3 linked regions of the Rhinolophus ferrumequinum genome follow. The protein of the gene in region 3 binds, or shares a complex with, the protein of the main gene of each other region. Links are inferred from orthologs where the notes say so. Each region holds a gene or a part of one and is shown on either strand. Other genes may lie near its edges.

Region 1 (7,407 bases), on a different chromosome or scaffold from region 3:
AAAAAAACTAGAAATTTTCTAACATCAAGGCAGAAAAGAGATGATTCAAAGAGGTTAACTACCAATGAAGAAAGAAAAGGTTTGGAATTAGACTTCTCATCTGCCACAGAGATAGAGAAGAAATACATTCAAAGGTCTGAAGGGAAATTTCCAACCTAGACCAAGAACAAACAAATAAATCCTCTTGAGTGGGTAAAAGGAAACTGCCTTTCACACCCCATTAAATTCTTGAGGGCATGGTACCTTCAACACAAAACAATTTATACTCAAAGTGAAGAAATGATAATATACAAACTCAAAATCCTTTGCTTAAGAAAACAAGCATTTGCGTAATCTGTTGCAAAAAGGATTATCATCAAAAAAGGTGTTTTTGTGTTTTTTTTCTAATTCATGCATGAAAGAAATCCTTAACTGAGAACAATGATCCAGAACTACTCATCTGCAATGTTCAGTGTTCGGAATAGCTGAGAGTCTGAGACCAGAAGAGAATCAAGTTTCTATCAGTTGTTGATCGCTAACAATTTCCTTTTGCATTCTGGATAAATACGAGTATAACATAATATCAAAGAGAAATGTTTTAATTCTTTTGTACACAAAGTGATTTTATTTGATCTAGACATAGTCTCACCAGAGGCATCAACATATCAAACCTGGGAGCTCTAATGTGTTAGTTTGTAACTAGCTTTTTTATCATTGTTCTAAAGACCGTCTTTTTGTTAACGTATATAAAAGCAATTAATTTTCATGAAGAAAAACTAAACATTACAAATAAGAAAAAGAATACTCATAATATCTCACCAGCACCTTCAAGCATAATCTTCTTAAAATACTTTTACTATGTCTGTATATAAGTATTTATATACATATTGTTTCCACAAAACTGAGATTACATGCTTTTTAATTTTTCTTAACATTAATATTAGCATATTAATAATACTTTTCTGTAGGCTCTAACACTAGCAGTGTGATATTCGGCAACTGAACTTCTTTGAACCTCACACTCCTTCATCTATAAAAGATTATCTACCTCGTAGGTTTATGTGACAATTAAATAAAATAATCCATGTAAAAATACTAAGCAAAATGCCTGGCACATAGTAAGAACCCAATAAATGATGGCATTTTGACTACCGGATACAACTTTCTATTTCTATTGTTAAACATTTTTTAGCCTACTTTTACCCATTAAAACAACATGAAATGAAAATCCATGTGGCTAAATCTTTGAATACATCCTAAATGTTCTTAGAATAAATTTCTAGAGGTAGAAGACTGGATCAATGATGTTTTATACGTTCCTAAATGTAAGTGCCTTACATTCACTAACATGCCCGGGTCCCCACATTCCTCATCTCTACCTCACTTTTAAGTTTTTTGTTTCTTAAATAACTGTTTTGTAAAGTCAGAAAAGCCTGCAGTAAATGGTGCAAAGAGTAAAACATTTACTATTTAAATTTTAGCCACTATTTACATTTCACTTGGGAGAATAAACAAGCCTTCACTGTCATGTTCCAATATATTTCAAGCACTGTTTTACTCTACTCGAGCTTTAAATTTTAAGAGAATAACTTCAATTTATAGTTCAGAACAAACTCAGTGCAATAGCTGTTTAATAGTTGTTCGTTAGACGTCTCGTTGTTTAAAAGTTATATAAGATGTTATGTTAAAAAATGTATTAGAGCTGCCTCCAACTTAGTCAAAATTCAGATTTCCTTGTGGAAACTAAAATTGAGAGAGAGATTTGCTCAATGTGTTGAGATTCAGAAAGCTCGGGAAGAAATTTCGCAGAAGCCCTCATCTTCCCTGAAGACACCACGTGCCACCAGCACCAAAACACACATCCATTGGTGCTTAAGCTACTGTTTTCTTTAAATTAACACTAACACGCCCCCTTTTTCCTGGAAACTGTCATTTCCTGAAGCAACAGCATTGGTGAAAAACCACGTAACAAGAGTCCTGAAAAAGCACACGCCGGGTTGGAGACAGGCACAACCCCAGCCCGGCCTCAGAGTGTCAGCCCCGGTGCCAGCCCGGGATCAAACAAGTTATGCTAAGTGCCTAACTCGTGACAGCCTCCAGGGCTGGACGCCGGCCACGCTGCCACCGCTTTCAGGTCCCCACGCTCTTGCAAGCAGCCTCGCCTGAAATGGCTCGACCCATGGCCCTCACCCCTGAACCAGGGTGTGGAATTAGACTTCAGTCACGCGTCGGAGGTCCTGCGGGATCCTGACCGACCCCTCGGTACTCAGTCTCGGATCCGGGATGGGAGACGGGGCTTTAGTCAAGAGGTCAGACACTACAAGGGACCCAGGTTTCCCCATCCTGCCCTCACTCCTGAGTTGGGGTCTCGGCTGGGTGGGGAAACCTTCGATATGGGTCAAAAATCGTGCAACATCGGAGCCCCTCCCACTTATTCTCAGGCCGGGGTCAGGCCGGCAGAGGGGAAAACTGTCACAGAGGTCAGCCATCACGAAGGAGCCAGCCACCCCCAGCCATTTTCCAGAACGGACTTTTGGGATGGGGACCCGGGTCAGGAGCCAACCTGAGGTCGTCCCCAGCGCGGGGTACGCGGGAATCCTCAGGTTAGAGCTCAAGGATCACGAAGAACCACCCCTCCTTTCTGCCCCGGAGCCAGGGTCCAGGGGTGTTGGGAAGTAGGGAAGAGGCAGCCATAGTACCTGAGGAGAGGCCAGCGCCTGCTGGAGCTGCTGCTGCTGCTCCTCGCTGATCTTCTGCTTCAGTTTCTTGAACATGGCGCAGCGCGGGGTCCTGAGTGTGAATGAGACCTGAGGGGGGAGTGCCCAGGCAGACCCGGCCGCGGCAGCGACCGCAGCTTCTCTACAGCAGGGACCGCGGGGGCCGGGCCTCGCCGCCTGCTCCTGGGGCTCGCGGGCAGATCGGGACTCTCGTCTTGCAGGTGTCGGCGTCGCCGCCGCCGCGTCTCTTCCTTCTGGGTGGCACTGGTTGGCGGCCCCCCATCCAGCCCGGGCAGCGGCGGCGGCGGCGGCGGCGGCGGCGGCGGCGACAACGGCAGCAGGTGAGCCGTGTGCCAAGGGCGCCTGCGCGGCCTACGTGGAGCTCGCCGGCGGAGCGCTACGGGGCGCGGGAGGGGACAAGCGCCCCGTCTGGCCGGCACATGCGCGCTCGGGCCGTCGCTCCCGAACGCCGGAGCGCGGAGGGCGGCGCAGGGATCTGCGGGGCCCAAACCCATTGCGCGCAGGGCTGGACTCAGAGCCGGGCGCCCGCGCTGCTGCGAGCTCTCCACGGACGGACACCTGGGCGTCGGCTCTGCGAAGTCACACGGGGACGGTGCTCTCCTGTGGCTCGGCTGGCAGGCCCACCGCGAAGTGTGAGCGTCGGGCATGGAAGAAGGAGCCGTCAGGGAACCTGCCGTGGGCTCTGAAGGATAGTGTACTTTTATTCGGGGTCCGTGGTGAGGATTTTGTGTCTCCAGTACCGACGTAGTACTCCTGCTGCTCCCCAGAGAGACCCTCCCCGCTTCCTTGACAGGAGGCTCCCGGGCTCCGGTGTTACAGGCCGATATCGTAAAGACCTCAATTATTTGGACATCTGCCTTTGTTTTTTAATTTCATTGAAATCATATATTATCACATACTTTATTCATTCAACAATCTTTATCACGCTAAGTCCAGTTCCTTGGTGATGTTAAAAGAATTCAGGGCCCGCGGAGGGGGCGGGGGGGGGGGGGGGAGACACAGATTCCTAAAGAGTCCACATTTATCCCTAGTACCTGCAATCATCCTCAGAGAGTTTAATGTTTAAGTGCCTGATTCATTCAACACCCTGCACTTTGGTCATCTGCGACCCCTCAAATCTATGTCATCAACCTACGTCTATACCAAATGGCTTCACATGGCCTCAGGTATCAGAATCTGACAGTATGTATACTCATCTCCACATTTTAACAAATTGTATTTACTAGCAATTATAGGAGCAAGTTGCTCTCTAAGATTCCATAGCCTGATCCCTAAATGTATTAGAGCCCGAGCAGGGCCTGCTCTGAACCCTGAATTGACAACTGGGATAAGTCCCCTTACCTCATAGTGAACACCTAGTTTCTTTTTTTCTTTTCTTTCTTTCCTTCTTTCCTTCTTGCCTTCCTTCCTTCCTTCCTTCCTTTCTCTTTCTCTTTCTTTTTCTCTTTCTCTTTCCTTTCCTTTCTTCTTAGGAGTCTTTCTCTCTCAAGACTATAAACGTCAGTAAGCTTTCAGCTGCTCCCAGACTCCAGATGCCTGATATGCATTGTCACCCCTACATTCACATTATAAATCAAAGGTTGCCAATATTATATTTATGCTTACAAGGTCGGACAAGTAAGTTCACGAACTCATCCTAGAAAAAGTGCTATATATCTCATTGCTGAATATCACTATGGTCACCTTTGAAGTACTCCCCTTGGGAAGCTATGCACCAATGTCAGCACCTAGCCCACCCTTCAAAGCAATTTTGGAACTCTTTCTGGAATGGCCAGCAGAGCTGTCATCGTATTACCTTTGATGTCCTGAATGTCATCAAAATATCTTCCATATTTCATCTTCTGGTAAAAAGAGAAGTCATTGGGAGTAAGGAGGGTGTTCTATAGTTGTTTGTTTACTAGCTGAAAACTCCCACACAGACAGTGCCATGTGAGCTGGTGCATTGTCGTGATGCAAAAACCATCAATTTTTTGTGAAAAGTTCAGGTCATTTAACTTTTTCACACAGCCTTTTCAGCACTTCCAAATAGTAAACTTGGTTAACTGTTTGTCCAGTTGGTACAAATTCATAATGAATAATCCCTCTGATATCAAAAAAGATTAGCAACATCGTTGAAACAAGTCCGCGAACTTAATTGTCAGACCTTCGTGTGTATGTATGTATGTAGGTATGTATTTATGTGTATGTGTATACATACATATGGGCCCTATCAAAGCAGTCCATAATAAAAAATAAACAAATAAATAAGAAGAAATTTGAGGCATCTCTTAGAGAAAGAAAAAGGCCAGAAAAGGACTAATTATGTGAAAAAAAGCCTTGCTAGGACACAAAAAAAGAGAGGACAGGGGGACAGGGTTGAAATCATCACATTTAACCACAATTTTGTTGACACAGCTAGCCTCCTCACAGTTACCGTCATTCAGCTTCAGGCCTCTGCAAATTAACATTCATTGTCTGTTCTTAATTAAACCTGTCCTTACTCTAATTCTTCAGCCACTCCTGAATACAAATCACCACCTGCTAAAGGCTCTTGCCTTGGTGCACTTCTCAGAGTCCTGCATTAACCCAGCCAGAGCACTCTGCTTGCCCCAATATTCCATGTTACTATTTTGAACTCATCTTCTACCAGCTGCTCACAGACTGGCACACCTCACTGCAGAATGGAAGGACGTTTGAAATGGGCTTGCACCCAATCCTCATGACCAGAGGCCTCATGAATTTAGTTCCCCAGAGGAACTCATGTGTTCCTATTAAACACAAAGAAGCAATATTCATAATTATAGACCAAAACTGATTATCATTCTTTCACCCCTTCCAATGGCAGATGCCATTCTACGTCTATATTTCAGAAAATGTTCAGAATAACATGATCACTAGGGACTACGCCTCAGAAAACAGCATTACATAGTAGTATGAAGTTCCTTTCCAAGCCTTACATAAGAAAATAGTATGTCAGGAAAGGCTTCTAGCCAAAGAACCAATTGTAGCTGAAATCTTGAATGCTGATTTCCTTCTTTTCTGGTGATTGGCCCTTTTGCATCACCACACAACACACTTTCTTTGCCCTCATCAAGAATCCCGATCCCTGCCATCCACAGAAGTATAGCACAGCAGTAAAGAGCATGGACTTTGATGTCACCCAGATTAGGGTTCAAATACGAGTCAGATATTTTCTAGCCCTGTCATCTTTGGCACTTAGATAAACCACATAGTACAAAGTCAAATACCTGAAGGAAGCAGAAAGGTTATGAGTTAGCACATATGGTATAAGACAGTGGAGGGTGAGGGAAAGTAATAAACTAGATACAAACACATCTAGTACAAACACATCTCCAGGAATTTTAAGTCATTGAAGCAAAACAGTACTTCAAATAAAATTTAGCCCAAAAGCCAGATTGTGATCTCTGAGTCTCAACTCTGTACTTCGTTTTCCTCATCTGTAACATTGTAATACTATTCACAGGAATGTTGTGAAGCTGAAATGAGATGATATGCATAGAGTATAGCTCATAAATGACACTTACAAATTATCAGAGTTTCCTTCTCTTCTTACTTGTAACACTTTCCCTCTATATGTTGACAGCTCCAGCCTAGATCTCTCCCCTGAGCTCCAGATTACAGCATCTCCATTAAGCTCTCACGTTTGGGGAGACGAGAACCATGACTCTCATGCAATTTAGCCAGTGCCCAGTACAGAGCCAGCCACTAAATTTCTGCAGAATTACTTAGTCTTAATACATCCAACTGCCTACTAGACAACTTAATGACCCAGAGGCACTTCAAATACAACATGTCCCAAACTGAAATCATCCACTACTAAACCATCACTTTTGCAAAAAAACAGTATGGCTATATAAAGTTGGAAAACGTTGGAAAAACCTCTCGTGAAAGAAAGGTCTACACAATGTCTAAACTTAGACTATGACTCCCCCAGGAATTTAGCCTACTTTTTCATCCTGGAGTCTTTGCTTTAAGGAATTTTTTTTTTTTTTTGTATCTTTGTTTTTAATTCCCATTGTAGGCAGAAAGTAAGTAAACTATGGAAAAGTGAGAGGTTTCATTATTATTGCTTTTGCTTGTTTGATAAATAGTCACAAAGAAGAGCAAAAAAAATGACTATCCCAGAGTCATATGATCTCAGTTACAGAATTGGAAACTGACCTCAGGCCTTCTTGCCCTTTATCCTGGTCTCCAACTGTAATATGTTCAACAGTTCTGGCTCTCCTCTGAAACACACCCTGCTCAATTTTTTTTTAAAAGCAGTTCAATTTAATTTTGAACAGTTTTATAATTGTTTACATGACATGTCCTAGGGATGTTTACATGATGACTCAACAATTTAATGAGAGGAATCATTTGAAGGAAAAACTTAATACTGGGCTGAGAAAAAAACAATTTGTTTCAAGAATGAGGCTTCTTGGTAACAAAGAAGAGTTGATGAAATGGAGGTGAGGTGTCAAATTCCTTCCTCCTTATTAAGTAACTACTTGATAATCAGACTCCTAAATCAACAAATTCACTCTTGCAAACATTTGGATACTGCTTGTGTTGTGGTTAAAAAAAAAAAAAAAGACACTTGCTTCATATTGAAGATGTGTGGGTGGTGTGGAAAGACTAGGTATCATAATGAATAAGCACACAGACATTAAGCTCAACTGGCTGGGCTCAAATTCCAGCTTTGCCATTTATT
Region 2 (7,562 bases), on a different chromosome or scaffold from region 3:
TTAGCCAGAAAGTTAGTGGGGCCACCCTGGGGATGCCTGGGGTGGGAATGTGGGGGTGAGGTTCTCAGATAAGTTCACAGGACTAGAACAAGGAAAGCCAGTGCAGCAGGCAAGGGAGAAGCTCTGATTAGGCTGAGCACCAAAGGCATTCTCGCCAATGCAGAGAAGGGTTACTTGTGAGGCACCTAGTGTGCCCCCGCCCCCTGCCCCTCCGACTTTGGACCTCCGTACAAACCCTTAGGCTGCCTCCACAGGTGAGTGCTGCTGGGGACAGGGCTGGGCTCACCCTGGAGGGATTCTCCCTCTGGGCTGCAGGAGGGATGGAGGGAGGGAGGCTGAGGGGTGACTGCCTGGGAGGGCCTGGGCCCAGTCCCCCCCAACTTTCTTTGGCCTGGCTGAGGCACCTGAAGCTCTGGGGACTTCTGGCTGAGGTCAGCAAAGGCGTCACCTAGTGCATGCTGGGTCTGCAGCAGGCTGTAGAGGTGGGCTGTCAGTGCCCGGCCCAGCTGCAGGACACTCTCATACTTGCGCTTCGTCTCACGCAGCAACTCAATCTGCAGCTCTAGCTCCAGGTCCACAGTCCGGGAGCCTCGGCCAAATCGCTCTGATAACAGCTGCTTTGTGCACTGATTGGGAAGTGGGGGAATAGGTCAGAGACCCTAGCACCCTGCTCCCCGAACAGGTATCTACCCCAGCATACCCAGGCTGGAATATAGATGGACTATTAGGATCTGGGAGAAGGCCAAAAGGTACCCAGAGGGAGTTTGGGGGAAGGGAGAGCTGCTTGAAGCCCACCTTGTATGTGTTGATGCCCCATTTCTTGACGATGTCAAACTTCTCTCCAGCGATGCCCCGAGCCACCTCATCTCCGGAGCCAGCAGGAGTGGCACTGTGAGATGGATGGCGGCCAGACCCTAAAGGACCAAGTTCTCTGACTCTAGCCTCTCTCAGATACAACCAGACGCCTCTGGGGCTCCACCCATACTTCCTTCCCAGCACCTGAACATGACTTCCCTGAGGGAGCAGAAGCTGGAGACAGATTCTCCTACTTACTAGGAGCAGCTCATACCTTGTGCCCTGAGACCCAAATCCCAAAAACATCTGGCCTCCTTCTGAGGTGGTGGTGGGGTTGGAGGGGGAGGGAAGAGGGAGCTGCTGGTGTACAGGGGCAGAGGAAACAAGAAAATAAGATGAGTGTGGGGCGGGAGGTCAAGGATGGTGGGTCCTGATAACAGGCAACCTAGTTGACATTCCCATGTGGAACCCTAGTCCGTGTGAGATTCAGGGCTGCTTGTCCCTCTAAACTTTAGAGTCTAAAGTAAAACTCTGAAAAGCCTCATAAATCTCCAAATCAGCCCAAGCTCCAGAGCACAGAGTTCTTAACTTGACTTAGGTGGTAGCAGCAGAGAAATGGCACATCTCAAGGGAAATGGCAAGTAGAGGCAGTTGAACAACCCTGGGAACTGGTCTTGGGCTGAGACAGTCCACAGGATTCACACTAGCAGAGGTTTCCAAGATCTCCAGAGGTAACTCAAGCTTTCTTACACATATCCTATGCTCCCCAGAACCATTCCTCTCCCCTTCTCCACTCAAGCTTCCTGTCCTGTTCTGATCATTCATACCTGTGGGGATGAGTCCATCACCAGAGCCCCCATAGCCACCAGACACAATGCTAGTTTCATTGAGGTTGGGTCCTGACACCATCACCTGCTGGAGGTCCTATAGGCCAGAGAAGAGGGGGGGGCTTCAGGAACATAGGGACAGCTGAAGCATTTTGGGGGTGAGAACAAACTTGGATTGAAGCATCACAGAGAGAGCACACAAAGGAAGTCTGCACAGAATCAGAACAAAAATTTGTAAAAAGAAGGGAGTTAGATAAGTTAGGAAAGGCTACTGGAATAGGCCAGGGTTTATGAGTTGGGATTCCTAAATTGAACAATAAGGAGAAGAATCAAACAGATGCACCTGTTCCAGCCCATCATCCTCAGGAAGCTGCCCAGCTTCGCCGTTCCCATGGATGGGGATCTCCATTGTAGCTGCCTTCCCTAGGATCCCGTCCGTCATGGCTAGGGAAGGGACTGGAGTCAATGTCTCCACCCCAGCGCCCTGCAAAGCCCAACACAGATAGTTCTGGAAATTGGCCAGGACCACAGAAGAGAAATGTCTCCCCTACCGTTTCTGAGGTTTTAGAGGTTGTCCCAGGGGTAGAGTGTTCTGGAGTGTGGCTACCACTCCTTCCCTCAGATAGTGCGAGTATATGTACCTCTTCCCTCCAAGGTGCATATTTTTACACATGCTCAGGTGTCTTCTCATGACTCTCCAACTTCACCAGGACTCCGATGATTATTCATGCATTCGATCATTCAACAGACATTTAATGAGTGCCTACTATGTGTCATGCACTATTTGAGGCCGTGCAACACAGCAGTGAACCAGACAAAGACTGTGTTCTCCTGAAGCTCACCCCCACCCAGGTGTTTCTCCCCATCAGGAGATGAACCCCTTTCCAAGGCTCAGTATGTTCTCCATCGCTTAGCCTTTCAACACCCCTTTAGTGTTTCTTCCCCTTTCCTTCAGACCGTTCCCCCCTTCTCCATACCATGCACCTTCTCTTCCTCGGGCTCTTCCCACCAGGCCTTAGTTGATTCAGTTGGTTTATGTTCCCAGCCTCTGGGAAAGCCTCTTTTCCCCAGGACATAGGTGATGGCTTCCAAAGTCGGTTATGTTTCCCTAGGTGTGTTTCCCCCACCCCCCACCCCAATACACCTGGGCATCAGGTGTGTCCTCATCCTTTCCCAGGCTCAGAGGTATCTTGCCCTCAAGACAGGTTCATGCATTCAACTTCCCCTTGCCCAAGTATGGCCCTCTCACCTGAGGACAGGCCGCTCTTCCCCTCAGGGCGCCAGGCCCGGGCCGCGGGGGGACCTCGGGCTCCAGCTCCCGTCGCGATCCTAGCAGCAGGTCAGGGACTCGGAGGAAGTGACGTCCTCTCCCGGGCAGAAGAAGCCAGCCACGTCGCAGATTATAAGGGCGGAGGTGACGTTAGCAGCCGGGGGCAGGACGATCCTTGAGTCAACCCCTCAGTCCCTGGGGATGGACGACAGATAACTTCCGGGGCGTTACCGAGAAGCTGTAACGGAAGTGACGCAGGACGTGAGCTTGTGGCGGGATGGAGCAGCAGCAGCAGCAGCAGCAGCAGCTGAGAAACGTGAGTGGCAGCTCATGTGGCTTCAAAGCCCTACATTCAACTGTCCTCGCCGTCTGCATGGCGGGAACCCCAAAAAGCTAGGGATCCGAGGGCTAGGGACATCGGGCTGTGGTGCGCGGTCCTGGTAAACTTCAAGGCGCGGCCTTGAATTCAGGTGTGGGCCCCCTTATAGCTGAGTTCTTGGTCCCCTTCTCTCCTAGTTGCGGGACTTCCTGTTGGTCTACAATCGGATGACGGAACTCTGCTTCCAGCGCTGCGTACCCAGCCTGCACCACCGAGCCCTGGATGCCGAGGAGGTGGGGGACCGAGTAGGGGATTACTCTTCATCCTCAGAGTTAACCGTAATCTGCTTCCTTCCTTCCTCCACTGCCTTTGGCCAGGGCCTTTCCATGTCCCTCGCCCCTAGGTTGGAGATGGGAAGGAAGGAAACGGATCTGACAGGACACCTTTGGCCCCTGTTTCCACCCTGTCTTCCTTCCAGGAAGCCTGTCTGCATAGCTGTGCTGGGAAGCTGATCCATTCCAACCATCGCCTCATGGCTGCTTATGTGCAGCTCATGCCTGCCCTGGTACAGCGCCGCATCGCAGACTACGAGGCTGCCTCAGCTGTGCCAGGTGTTGCTCCTGAACAGCCTGGAACCTCGCCATCAGGCAGCTAGCCATCCCCAACCCCAGGAAGGGAGGCACTGGATGGCCCCTCAAATTGAAGGAGCCAGTGGACTGAGTGCCTACTATGTGTCATGCACTATTTGAGGCCATGCAACACAGCAGTGAACGAGACAAAGACTGTGTTCTCCTGAAGCTTATCCCCACCCATGTGTTTCTCCCCATCAGGAGATGAACCCCTTTCCAGGGACCTTGCTTGGGCTGGGTCCAGCCTGTATATAGAAAGTGAGGGCTTGCCTGAGAGCTGGGTACTGTGGCTCCAGGAAGAGTTAATAAACCTGCTTTTATTCTGTTTGGTTTATATTTTGGGCAGGGAAGCTTTGCCTACTTTATTAGCATCATCTTTTATTCTGTCAGTTAGTGAATATCTGCTGGCTTTAGCCCTGTCTGCAGAGAAAGTGCCTTCTTTGTATGGACGCAAACCTTAGCATTCCCAGGCACCTGGTTAAAGCAAGGTCTGTGGGTACAATTTTAAGGTTGGTAATAGCAACGGGAAATTGGTTCCTGCCCAGATGACAGAGAAAATGGGAGCTCTGTCTAGCTCTTCTTCACATAAATCTGACTTTAATGGCTCACTTGTGAGCCAGGTGTGCATTCATTTATAGCTATTTTCTTGTGGACTGTGTTTTACAGGAAGGAATTCTGCCAGATTTAGGGAAAGGAGGAGATGTCTAAGGACAGTAGATCAAGAAATCACAGGGTTTTTAGGCACTACCTACTGGGAAATCAGTAGCTCCAGGACAGAGATGAAACCTGTAAGAATTCAGGGGTGTTCTGGAACTTCAGCCATTTCCCCAAGTTGTTACTTTCTCACTATTTCCTGTCTTCCTGAATGAGCAGTAAAACCTTTAAGCAAAGAAGGTCTGTGTGCTTGTCTTCAGGGGCAGTAAGAAAGGGGAAAACTTAGGCCGAATTCTGCAATACTGTCAGACTTGAGGAAGAGAAACCCAAGGGAGAAGTAGATGGTAGTGATTATGGGGAAAAAAAGGGATAAAATTAAATCTTCAGGCTCTTTAATGTTACCTTAATGTCTCAGTGCTTATCTATAATCTTCTAATTCCAGCTCTTCTACCCTCTACCCCATGTTGTTCCCACTGTGCCTGTTCTGTGATTTCTATCTAATTCCAGTCTATCCATTCTTTCCTCATTATTGCCCCCTTGTGGAATTTACTTCTGCATTCAGCAGTATAAATGGCCTATCATTCCATCACCCCATTTTCTTGCTGCCCTTGTGTCCTTTTTGTATCGTTCCAGCTGTTTAATCTTTTCTGTTCCTCCATTCAAATTGCTAGAGAAAAACACAGCTGTATAATAAATGCGACTAAATATTAAAGGTCTCCAACTTCAACCAAGCTCTTACTACCAATAAGCAATCCTTGTGGGTTCCGGTCTATTTGCTCTCCTTAATCACCAAGGCAGTTATTTACACCTTCACTGCTCTCCTTAATCCCCCATCTCACCCTCCGCTATCTCCCATCAGGTGACCATGTCCTTTCATTTTTTACAGAGGAAATGGAAGCTCATAGATAATTGGCACCCACAATAATAAAAATAACTTCTTACAGTCACCCTCAAAGCACACGTTTTCTCCCTGTACAGATCGGGAAGTTGAAATTCTCTATGAGCAGACATTGTATTAAAATACCGATCTGCCTTTAAAATCCATGTTTGTTTGTTTTTTACTTTTTTTGCTATACCAGTTTACCTCACAAAATAATATCTATTGAGCCCCCACTTTGTACAGGTTCTGATGTTGGTATATGTCATGCTTCATCTTAGTTAATCTTTATGAAAAAACTACAAGTAAAAGGTATTATCCCCACTTAACAGATGAGGAAGCAAGAATCCAGAAGATACTAGAAGCATATCTTACGCACACTTACCTATTGAGAAAAGTAACTCCAATCAGCTTTTTGCCTTTCTAGGGTTGGTTTTCCTGCCAGGTGGCTTCAGAATATAATTGCCTACTCCTTTGCAAAGTCTGATTCCTTTGAGGCTATTCAAGTGTACCACCGTCTCTACTTGTCCTTAGAAACTACTGCTCTTCTACTTTCCACTAAATAGCCAGCCCTTGGTCTTCGTATCTACCCGTCGATACTTAATGTTTACATGGGCACTCCATTCAGTATTTTGGTCTCTTAGCTTTTGACCCAATCGCCAATGATTTTCATTCTCTTAGCCACCCGTTCCCATGGTTGTGTCCTAGCCATTGTCTTCGCCTCACACTGCTGTATCTCCAAAACACTATTACTTGCATCTTATTCATCTACCATATTCTTCCCACTTTATTTATGGAACTATTCCTCTACTGTCTTTGATTTCACTGGAGCAGTTAGGTCATTGCTTCTACCTTCTCTCCATTAACACCTTCCTGTCTTTAGATTCCTATTTGGCTTAAATTCTACTGATCCTCTTGGAATAAGCTGCATTTGCTTAACTCATCTCTCTTTTTTTGACTCTTAGATAAAATGAAACTTTTGTACTTGCATTTGGAGAACTAAAAGCCGCCCAAGGACATCACTACAGATCAGATTTATATCACTGAATCCATGGTTACCAGCTTCAAGTAGAGCCTCAGCCCCTATAATCCTACTGGATTTTTCTAGTCGTCTCCCTGCTTGCTGAAATGAGTATTTCAAACCAATATTCTTAAGTCTCTTATTAGCTTACCCCCCCCACACACACACACCATTCTCTTCACTTCTTGCAGATAATCATATCTTTCTTCATAGACAAAAGTAAAAGTTGTCAGTTGGGAATTCTCACAACATCTGGCCACCAAACTTGGGTCACGCATCCACATCTGCATCATTCTCTTCCTCTCCTGTAGTGATTACTTTTAAGGCCTATTACTCTTAAGGCCTATTCCTTTGCTCTGAATCTTAGTTCTTCCTTCCTTTAGAATCTCTGATTTTTCCCCACTTTACTAAATTCTCGTCAGTGTTTAAACTTGCTAAAGACTCTCCTGGGCCAGCCCGGTGGCTCAGGCGGTTGGAGCTCCGTGCTCCTAACACCGAAGGCTGCTGGTTCAATTCCCACATGGGCCAGTGGGCTCTCAACCACAAGGTTGCCGGTTTGACTCCTTGAGTCCCACAAGGGACAGTGGGCTCCGCCCCTGCAACTAAGATTGAACACAGCACCTTGAGCTGAGCTGCCACTGATGGCTCGGTTGGAGCACAGGCTCTCAACCACAAGGTTGCCGGATGGACTCCCGCAAGGGATGGTGGGCTGCGCCCCCTGCAACTAACAACGGCAACTGGACCTGGAGCTGAACTGTGCCCTCCACAGCTACGATTGAAAGGACAACAACTTGACTTGGAAAAAAATCCTGGAAGTAAACACTGTTCCCCAACAAAGTCCTGTTCCCCTTCCCCAATAAAATCTTTTTTTAAAAAAAAAAGACTCTCCTGATAGAACAAACCACTCTGTACCTCACCCCTGCCCCCAGCTATCCTAATTTTTTTCTACTTTACAGCTAAACTCAAAACAGTTGGATACTTTGGCCCTCTCCATCCCATTCTTCTACCCGACCTGTTTTGACTTCTGGAAGCTTTATTTTGTTGAAATGGTTCTTAACTGAGGTCACCCTGGCTTACTGAGGATATGGCCTTCATATCCCTGAATCAAGTCCAGGCTTACTTCCCTTCTCAGTAGCCTCTCGTACTATTAACTACTAATAGTTCCTCATC
Region 3 (7,154 bases):
ATTTATTGTCTTCATTTTATCAAAAAAGATACTGGCTCTCAAAGAGATTAAGTGTCTTACCTCAAGCCAATGTTTAAAATAGCTCTAAACAGCAAAACCTAGCCATGCACCAGGGTCCATAAATTACAACAAACTGCCTCTCAGTTTATGAAAAAAAAAAGGTGTTATCAATAATATGCTCATGCTACAAGTTTACAAACCTTATCAGTTACTTTATTATATGAATTATTCATTCAGAAATAAAGTTATGTTGGGTGGAAAACAGAAACCCCTACAATTAGTTTATCATTCCAACACTTACTAGGAATAGTAGTAACGACTTCTCCAACCTGTAATCTGTACAAAATCGTAGTTTTTCCTGCTCCGTCTAATCCCAAAATTAAAATCCTCATTTCCCGGGTTCCAAACAGACTAGAAAATATACTTGAGAAAAAGCCACCTAAAAAAATAATAAAAGCAAAAATGTATTAAATATCATTTTCGGAACTAGGTCCACAAAACATTTAATCTTGCCTTTTCAAAGCTATACCAAATTAAATATTATATTTTCCTCCATTCATAGATGCATACTTTTGCCCCAACTAAAATACATTATTCAACATCAAACAAGTAATTACTGATTGTTACCATGTCCTAGATACTGTATCAGGAAAGGTTACCATGTCCTAGATATTGTATCAGGAAAGCACAGAAGATACACTAAAGAATAAGAGAAATATGACCACTGCCTTTATGGAGCTCACTTTCTAATCAAAAGAATATGGATAGCTTGGCATGATCACCCCACTACCCCTAAAAACCAAAGGGCGAATCAGAATGACAGTGGGACAATGAAGTCCTCGCACATGAAAAGCAATTATTATAATTATTATAGTTTATACATAATATATTTACATTATAATAAACATTATGTTAAATATTTATTATTATATAGCATCAGTACCATCAGAACTACACCTTTAATCATTGAGATTTTTGTTAAGCAATATAACTAGCACAAGAAATTGAGACATAGCGGCCCAGAATAAAAACTATTCTTCATAGAACACTCATTTTAAAAAATAACGCTACATTCAATGCATCATGAAATATCTCCAGGAAGCTTCCTATATGCGAGGTACTCTGTAATATAAAACACCTTGCGAACAGAGTATAACTGTGGTTACCAGATGTGGGAGAATCAGGGAAATGGGAGAGATGCACAAACTTTTGTTAAGAGATGAGTAAGTTCTGGAGACCAATGTGCAGCACGGTGATTATAGTTAATAATAATGTAGTGTACACTTGAAATTTGCTAAGAATGATCTCCAGAGGTTCTTACCATACACTACGTGAACTGATGAATGTATTAACTTGATTGTATAGTTATTGCACAAGGTATACATATATCAAAATATCATGTTGTATACCTGAAATACATTCAATTATTTGTCAATCGTAACCTCAGTAAAACTGGAAAAAAAATTAAAAATTAAAAAATTATCCTTTGTCTCAGCAGGCCTCCTAGAAATGATTGTGCTTACGTAAAATAACTCCTCATAGAAAGGAAGGTGGAAATTTAGTCTTTATTATTCTTTTTACAACAGAAGAAACTAATTTTTCTTTCTTTTACGATTACAAAGAAAAAGCACCTTGGCTTGACTCTTTCCCACCAAAAGCATTAGATTGAAAGTTACATTTAATAATATAAAAAACAACTGACAACAGAAGTGATGCCACTCACCAATACATGATTATTTGACAAAGAAATGGCACAATCAAGAGCTGCAAGTCTGGAAAAATGAACACACCCTCAGCTAGAGAACCCTTGGGAAGTGTAACAGTCGGGGTAGAATGTTGACAAAGTACAGGTTTGAAAAAAAAAAGGCGAAAGAGCAAAACTGAAGGTGGTTATGGATAAAAACAGGAAAGTGCTTGTGGTGTTCCAGAGCAGGAAGCAAACCCCCCAGAAAACCGTGGAGGTATTTAAATAAGCCAAAGAATTTCCATCTTCATCCGGAGGGCTGTGAACAAGTTAAAGGACTTGCACCTTCATTTTGGGCTCTAGCGGGGAAGACGACGGCTTTACCTGATGTTGGTGATGGCCATGTAGTTCCCGCAATTAGCACTCCAAAAATTGAGGTTAAAATTTCATTCACTGACCAGTAATCCCTTCCCCATTCCCTCCTCCATCTTACTCTGTTCTCTACACAAGCTACAGATAAGCAGACAAATGCCAAGATGGCTATCAAACAAAATTATGAGCAACACCTCCCTTTGGATTTCTCAAACGGATGCAGTCCCACCGACTGGGGGGGAGGGGACAGAGAGAAAGAGAATCGAGTTTCCACAATGGGGTCAGATCTCATTTTTTGCCCAAGAAACCTCAGCGAACCAGTGACTGACATGTTGCCAAGCTTCGCAAGACCAACTCCGCCCAGCAAGTCGAACTGAGTCTGAGCTGGTGAGGGAAAAGTTCATGGTCAGGGGAAAGGACTCGGAGCCGGGCTCCCAGGTCTCAGGGCTGTGCGGCCCCGCGGTGACCCCAGTCGACCCCGCTGGGATGAAGGAGAAAGTAGCGAGGACTGGGACGACCGCTCCAGGAAGGATCCATCCCCACAGGGGAAGCGCCACCGTGAATTAAGTCCTCAGCGACTTCTCCGGTGAGAAGCTGGCTAGTCCGGGGTTCCCAGGCCCGCCCCTCTCCTCCTCCGGACCCCAGCCCTGGGCCGCTGCCCCCTCAAGCGCGGCCCAAGCGCCCTTCTCAGATCCCTCACCCATGATGAGCCGCCTGTCCGCCCTCGTCGATCGTCAGAGACAGGTCGCGGCCTCCGCAGCGACTCTTTTTCGAGCCCGAATGCCGCCGCCTCCACTCGCCTCGGCCTCCCGCTCCGGCTGGGAGGCGGTTTCCTTGGAAGCCTGGTCCGCCAGCAACTTCCACGTCGGACACCCGGCGGGGGCGGGACGGAGCAGCCGTCACGACTGCGCGCCTGAACGGCGGCCTGTGCGTCCGCGTTGTCGCTTTCGACGCAGGTCCGCCGCGCTCTGGGTGTAAATACTGTGGAAGCCGGAAGAGAAAAAAAGGTCAAGGGCCCCAAATCTATCCTGCTTCTGTTTTCTCTGACAGGAGGGCTTCCGAAACAGGGAAATTTGAATTTTCATTTTTAAATTCTGACACCAAAAAGCGGCGAATCCGCTAACCAAGAATGTTAGTCAGGCTTCGGTGCGGCAGCCTGACAGGACGTGGGCGCAGGCGGCGGCGTCGCAAGAGTTGCGGGTTCTGAAGCGCCCTACGGGGCGACCCAGCTTTGCCTGGGTGCGTTTTCCGAGAAGGCAATAGCACTACGCAATAAGAAGAAGAAGACACCCCCAACTCTCCCGCCACCAATGCAGATCATCCTGACACCTAAGGCCGCTAAAGAGAGATTTTTGGCATCGCAGTGGCCTGCAGGGTCAGCGTTAGAGCGCCTCCCCCCCCCCCCACACACACACCTTTCTTTCACATGACGGTGCACCTGACCACCTTTCTGTGATTGGCAGTGTGGGCGGGCTGATCCCACACTGCCTGTTTCCTCAAGGGTCGTCGATCGGAAGTAATATAGGTCTTGACAGTGACGTCGCGGGCAGGAAGCGATACTTGAAGGATGGGGAGAAGGGATTCTCCTAGAATTTCTTTTTCTTTTTTTTCTTTAAAGTTGAGCATGCGTGTCTTGAAAATTCTTAAATACTCAGAAAAGTAAACCTATCCCTAGCCCCTAATCCCGCAGTTCTCCCTAGAAGTAACCATTGTGAATGCTTTCTTGGGTCACCTTCCAAATATAGTCTTTGCATATTATATTTTTATTTATAATAGAGATGTTCATTCAACAGAAGTTTATGGACTATCTGTTTTGTTTTTTACTTCATTTTCAGACCTCTCCAGTTGCATAAGCATGAACTAGATTTGCCTTTTGTTCTCATCTCCCCTTCCCGCTCCCAAATCATAAGTTAACAGAAATTTTTCTTGCAAGGAAAAGTTGGGGGGGGGAGTGGTGGTGTTGTCATTTGTTTTGTTGTTTGAGAAGGGGAGAGTTGAGCAACTCTTCACCTAAACACCGGGACTTTTTTAAGGCTGTGCTTCATAAGCATTGCGTTTTTCAACTCTTGGGCCTCAGTGTGCTGTGATTCCACTGACTTTTCTCACCTATTCATCTTCCTTCAATCCCTCTCTTAGCCAAGATTAGCTGCTACCACTTGGCAAATCTTGGCCATTGCTTCTTCAAATTTATGTCCATGTCAAGAGGGTAGGAGGATAATATAAGGGGAAAGGGTAGGTCAAATATATGGTGATGGAAGGAGAACTGATTCTGGGTGATGAGCACACATGTGATATATAGATGATACATTATAGAAATGTACACTTGAAACCTATGTAATTTTACTAACCATTGTCACCCCAATCAATTTAATTAAAAAACACTTATGTCCATGTCGGATTTATGTTTCCAGTATAATGCACATAGTTCCCTGAAAAAAGAGTCCCCTTAAATGAGAACTAAAAGGAAAGACATGTTTTAAACTTTATATTCATACTGTATGTTCTGAACCAAATAAGCAAATAATATATACGTGAGGATGCTGTGTAAACTGAAGTGCTATATACAAATTGAAGTTGCTACCATTTAGAGGCACTTATTAACCCAAGGGTGTTTAAGACAGAAAATGAATATGGCTTCAAAAAGTGTTGAGACAAATTTATAAATAAAGCCATAAACAGCCTAGAAAAATTTAGCTAATCTTTTGTTAGTGAGTACATCCCACCTTCACCTTCTCCTCCCTTCTCTCAATTCTCAATTCCTAAGACTTGAGTAGTTCTTTCATGGGAACACAATTTTCAATGTGTAAATGTCACATTAAGGTAGTGAAAAATAAGTTAACAAAACTACCATTTCATTTTTTTTTTCTGATACTAACTAAAGATATCCATTACTCTGCAGGAGAAGTACCTTATCTTTTGGGCAACATTATTTTTCAAAATGTAGTCATTCCTATTAATATTGACGTGGTATTACAGTTCTTGTTTCCTAAAAAAGAAATAATTGAAGAAGCAGAATTATAGCAGCATGCTGGAATTAAAGCTAAACATTTAGATTGTAAGTCTAAGGAATTTTATTCTTCAGACAAGCATATCTGAAGAATTGACCTCATCTCTCTCTGGTCTTTACTCAAATATCATCCTATTTAAAAATTTGGGGGGCCAGCCTGGTGGCTCAGGTGGTTGAAGTGCCGTTCTCCTAACATGGAGGTCGCTGGTTCGATTCCCACATGGGTCAGTGAGCTGTGCCCTCTACAGCCAAGATTGTGAACAACAGCTCTCCCTGGAGCTGAGCCTGGTGAGCCTCTTTGCCTACCGACAAGGGGGACTACAAGGCTCATAATACCAGTATGGGCCAGAGAGCTGTGTCTTACACAACTAGACTGAGAAACAACGGCATGAACCGAGTGGGAGTGTGGGGAGGCGGAAGAAAGGGGGGAAAAATTGTAAACTACCCAACATTCCTCTTATCCTGATTTTTTAATACAACTTCCCACTAAACATGTTATAATTTATTTACTTATTACGCTTATTATTTATTTATTATCTACTTCTCACTAGAATGTAACATTTATGAATGCAAGTAGTTTTTGTTTATTTTGTTCACTATTTTATTCTTGTACTTGGTCATTAAACAAATATTTAATGAGATAATTTGTTGAATTGTAAAATAAGTTTCTACAGCCAATGCCATAAACATTGGTTAACTTTAACATATAGCATGCAATATTTTTTAACTTGTTTCCTAAAATAGGCATTTCTGAACTACTGGCCTTTATTAGAAAGGAGAGGCCAAACTATCACATACAAGAAAGTCGACATCGTTGAAAAGAAGCCACCAGGTGGTGGTATTGCTTCAAACAAATTCTCAGTAGACCGAGATCAATTGGTACAATTTATTAAAAGTTGAGTGGACAATTTAATCCTTTTCAAATTATATGGTTCAATAACAATTTACTAAACTTTTTAATGTGAATGTTTTAATGCAGTCCAAGCAAGGAAAACAATTTCAAAACACCTTTAACTATAAAGTCACAATAAGATCAAGTAAATTCAGAATTTTGAAACTAGAAGGAATCTCAATGTCAACCATCTCCATTACAGATGAAGACGTAGAAACAAGCTAAGCAACAGAACCAGGACAGAGCCCTTATCGTTTGGCTTCCACACCTGGCGTAACTAGATTATGATGCCTTCTGTAATTGAGCCATTTACCAAATCATCTATACATTTGGCAAACTGATTTTCAAACACTTGTCCATGCCTCAAGAATTTGCTGCAGTTTCCAAATTTGAAACCTAACAGATGTGTGTGATTCATTGCCTAGTGGACACTGCATTCTCTTGCTCACATTTTATTCCATGAAGCAGAAACCTATAAAATATAAGTATAAATACATGTGTAATAAATATAAGCTTCAGAAAGGGCTTATCTTACTGTATATTTATAATTGTATTTTAACCTAAGGAGCATTTGAAAAACATAACTAGGTATGTGATTTTCACAAATCAAGATATGCATTTCATTTCAAATGTTTTCTTTCAATAACGTGTACTTTGGTAACAGAGCAGAATTTCTCTTTAGGACTTAGGGGTTTCTTTCTTAATTGAAATGTAATTCACATACAATAAAATCCACAATTTTTAAGTGTATGTTTCAGTGGTTTTTAGTATATTTGCAAGGTTTGCAACTATTACCACTGCCTAATTCCAGAACATTTTCAGCACCCCAAACAGAAACTCCATACCCATTACGCAATAATTCCCCACTCCTCACTTCCCTAGCCTCTGGTAACCTCTAATCTTTCTGTCACTATAAATTTGCCTATTCTAAACATTTCATATAAGGGTAATAGTACCATATTTATCAGTCTGTGTCTGGCTTATTTTACTAGCTTAATGTTTTTAAGGTTTATCCACACAGCATGTGTCAGAGTTTCATTCTTTTTTTAAAGCTGAATAATATTCTATTGTGTGTATATACAATGTTTGTTTATCCATTCATCAGTTGATGGACATTTGGGTTGTTCCACTTTTTGGCTATTTGAATGATGATGCTATGGACATTTGTGTATAAGTTTTTGTGGGAACACGTGTTTTCA

What was found. The genes of interacting proteins can lie anywhere in the genome.
Region 1: the proteins of ARL1 (region 3) and GOLGA4 are in contact, whole or in part, in a crystal structure (PDB 1UPT), measured with the Homo sapiens proteins. The link is inferred for Rhinolophus ferrumequinum from reciprocal best matches to the Homo sapiens genes ARL1 and GOLGA4. Residues at the interface, in NP_001168.1 of Homo sapiens: Ile49, Gly50, Phe51, Gln64, Trp66, Ser73, Ile74, Pro76, Tyr77, Cys80, Tyr81, Ser83, Glu115; in NP_002069.2 of Homo sapiens: Thr2173, Glu2174, Glu2176, Tyr2177, Lys2180, Val2181, Glu2184, Glu2190, Thr2193, Lys2196, Val2197, Thr2200, Val2201.
Region 2: the proteins of ARL1 (region 3) and ARFIP2 are in contact, whole or in part, in a crystal structure (PDB 4DCN), measured with the Homo sapiens proteins. The link is inferred for Rhinolophus ferrumequinum from reciprocal best matches to the Homo sapiens genes ARL1 and ARFIP2. Residues at the interface, in NP_001168.1 of Homo sapiens: Glu17, Arg19, Gln38, Ile46, Ile49, Gly50, Phe51, Asn52, Val53, Glu54, Thr55, Gln64, Trp66, Ile74, Tyr77, Cys80, Tyr81; in NP_001363487.1 of Homo sapiens: Phe205, Thr212, Lys216, Thr217, Asp220, Asp278, Ile281, Lys282, Phe285, Leu286, Glu288, Asn289, Lys292.

Annotation. Positions count from the first base shown.
Region 1 is NC_046300.1:14,969,631-14,977,037, forward strand, and holds the start of GOLGA4 (golgin subfamily A member 4), read right to left. Parts: upstream 3,010-7,407; 5' UTR 2,754-3,009; coding exon 2,679-2,753; intron 1-2,678. UniProt on the Homo sapiens protein: Involved in vesicular trafficking at the Golgi apparatus level. May play a role in delivery of transport vesicles containing GPI-linked proteins from the trans-Golgi network through its interaction with MACF1. Involved in endosome-to-Golgi trafficking.
Region 2 is NC_046294.1:45,324,956-45,332,517, reverse strand, and holds the start of ARFIP2 (arfaptin-2), read right to left. Parts: upstream 3,010-7,562; 5' UTR 2,872-3,009; intron 2,107-2,871; 5' UTR 2,065-2,106; coding exon 1,966-2,064; intron 1,720-1,965; coding exon 1,623-1,719; coding exon of another isoform or gene 1,618-1,622; intron 962-1,617; coding exon of another isoform or gene 915-961; coding exon 796-914; intron 627-795; coding exon 405-626; intron 1-404. Other genes in the region: TIMM10B (mitochondrial import inner membrane translocase subunit Tim10 B), read left to right, coding at 3,170-3,208, 3,409-3,504, 3,690-3,866. UniProt on the Homo sapiens protein: Plays a role in constitutive metalloproteinase (MMP) secretion from the trans Golgi network. May have important functions during vesicle biogenesis at certain cargo subdomains, which could be predominantly utilized by secreted MMPs, such as MMP7 and MMP2.
Region 3 is NC_046293.1:17,760,977-17,768,130, reverse strand, and holds the start of ARL1 (ADP-ribosylation factor-like protein 1), read right to left. Parts: upstream 3,001-7,154; 5' UTR 2,761-3,000; coding exon 2,757-2,760; intron 440-2,756; coding exon 302-439; intron 1-301. UniProt on the Homo sapiens protein: GTP-binding protein that recruits several effectors, such as golgins, arfaptins and Arf-GEFs to the trans-Golgi network, and modulates their functions at the Golgi complex.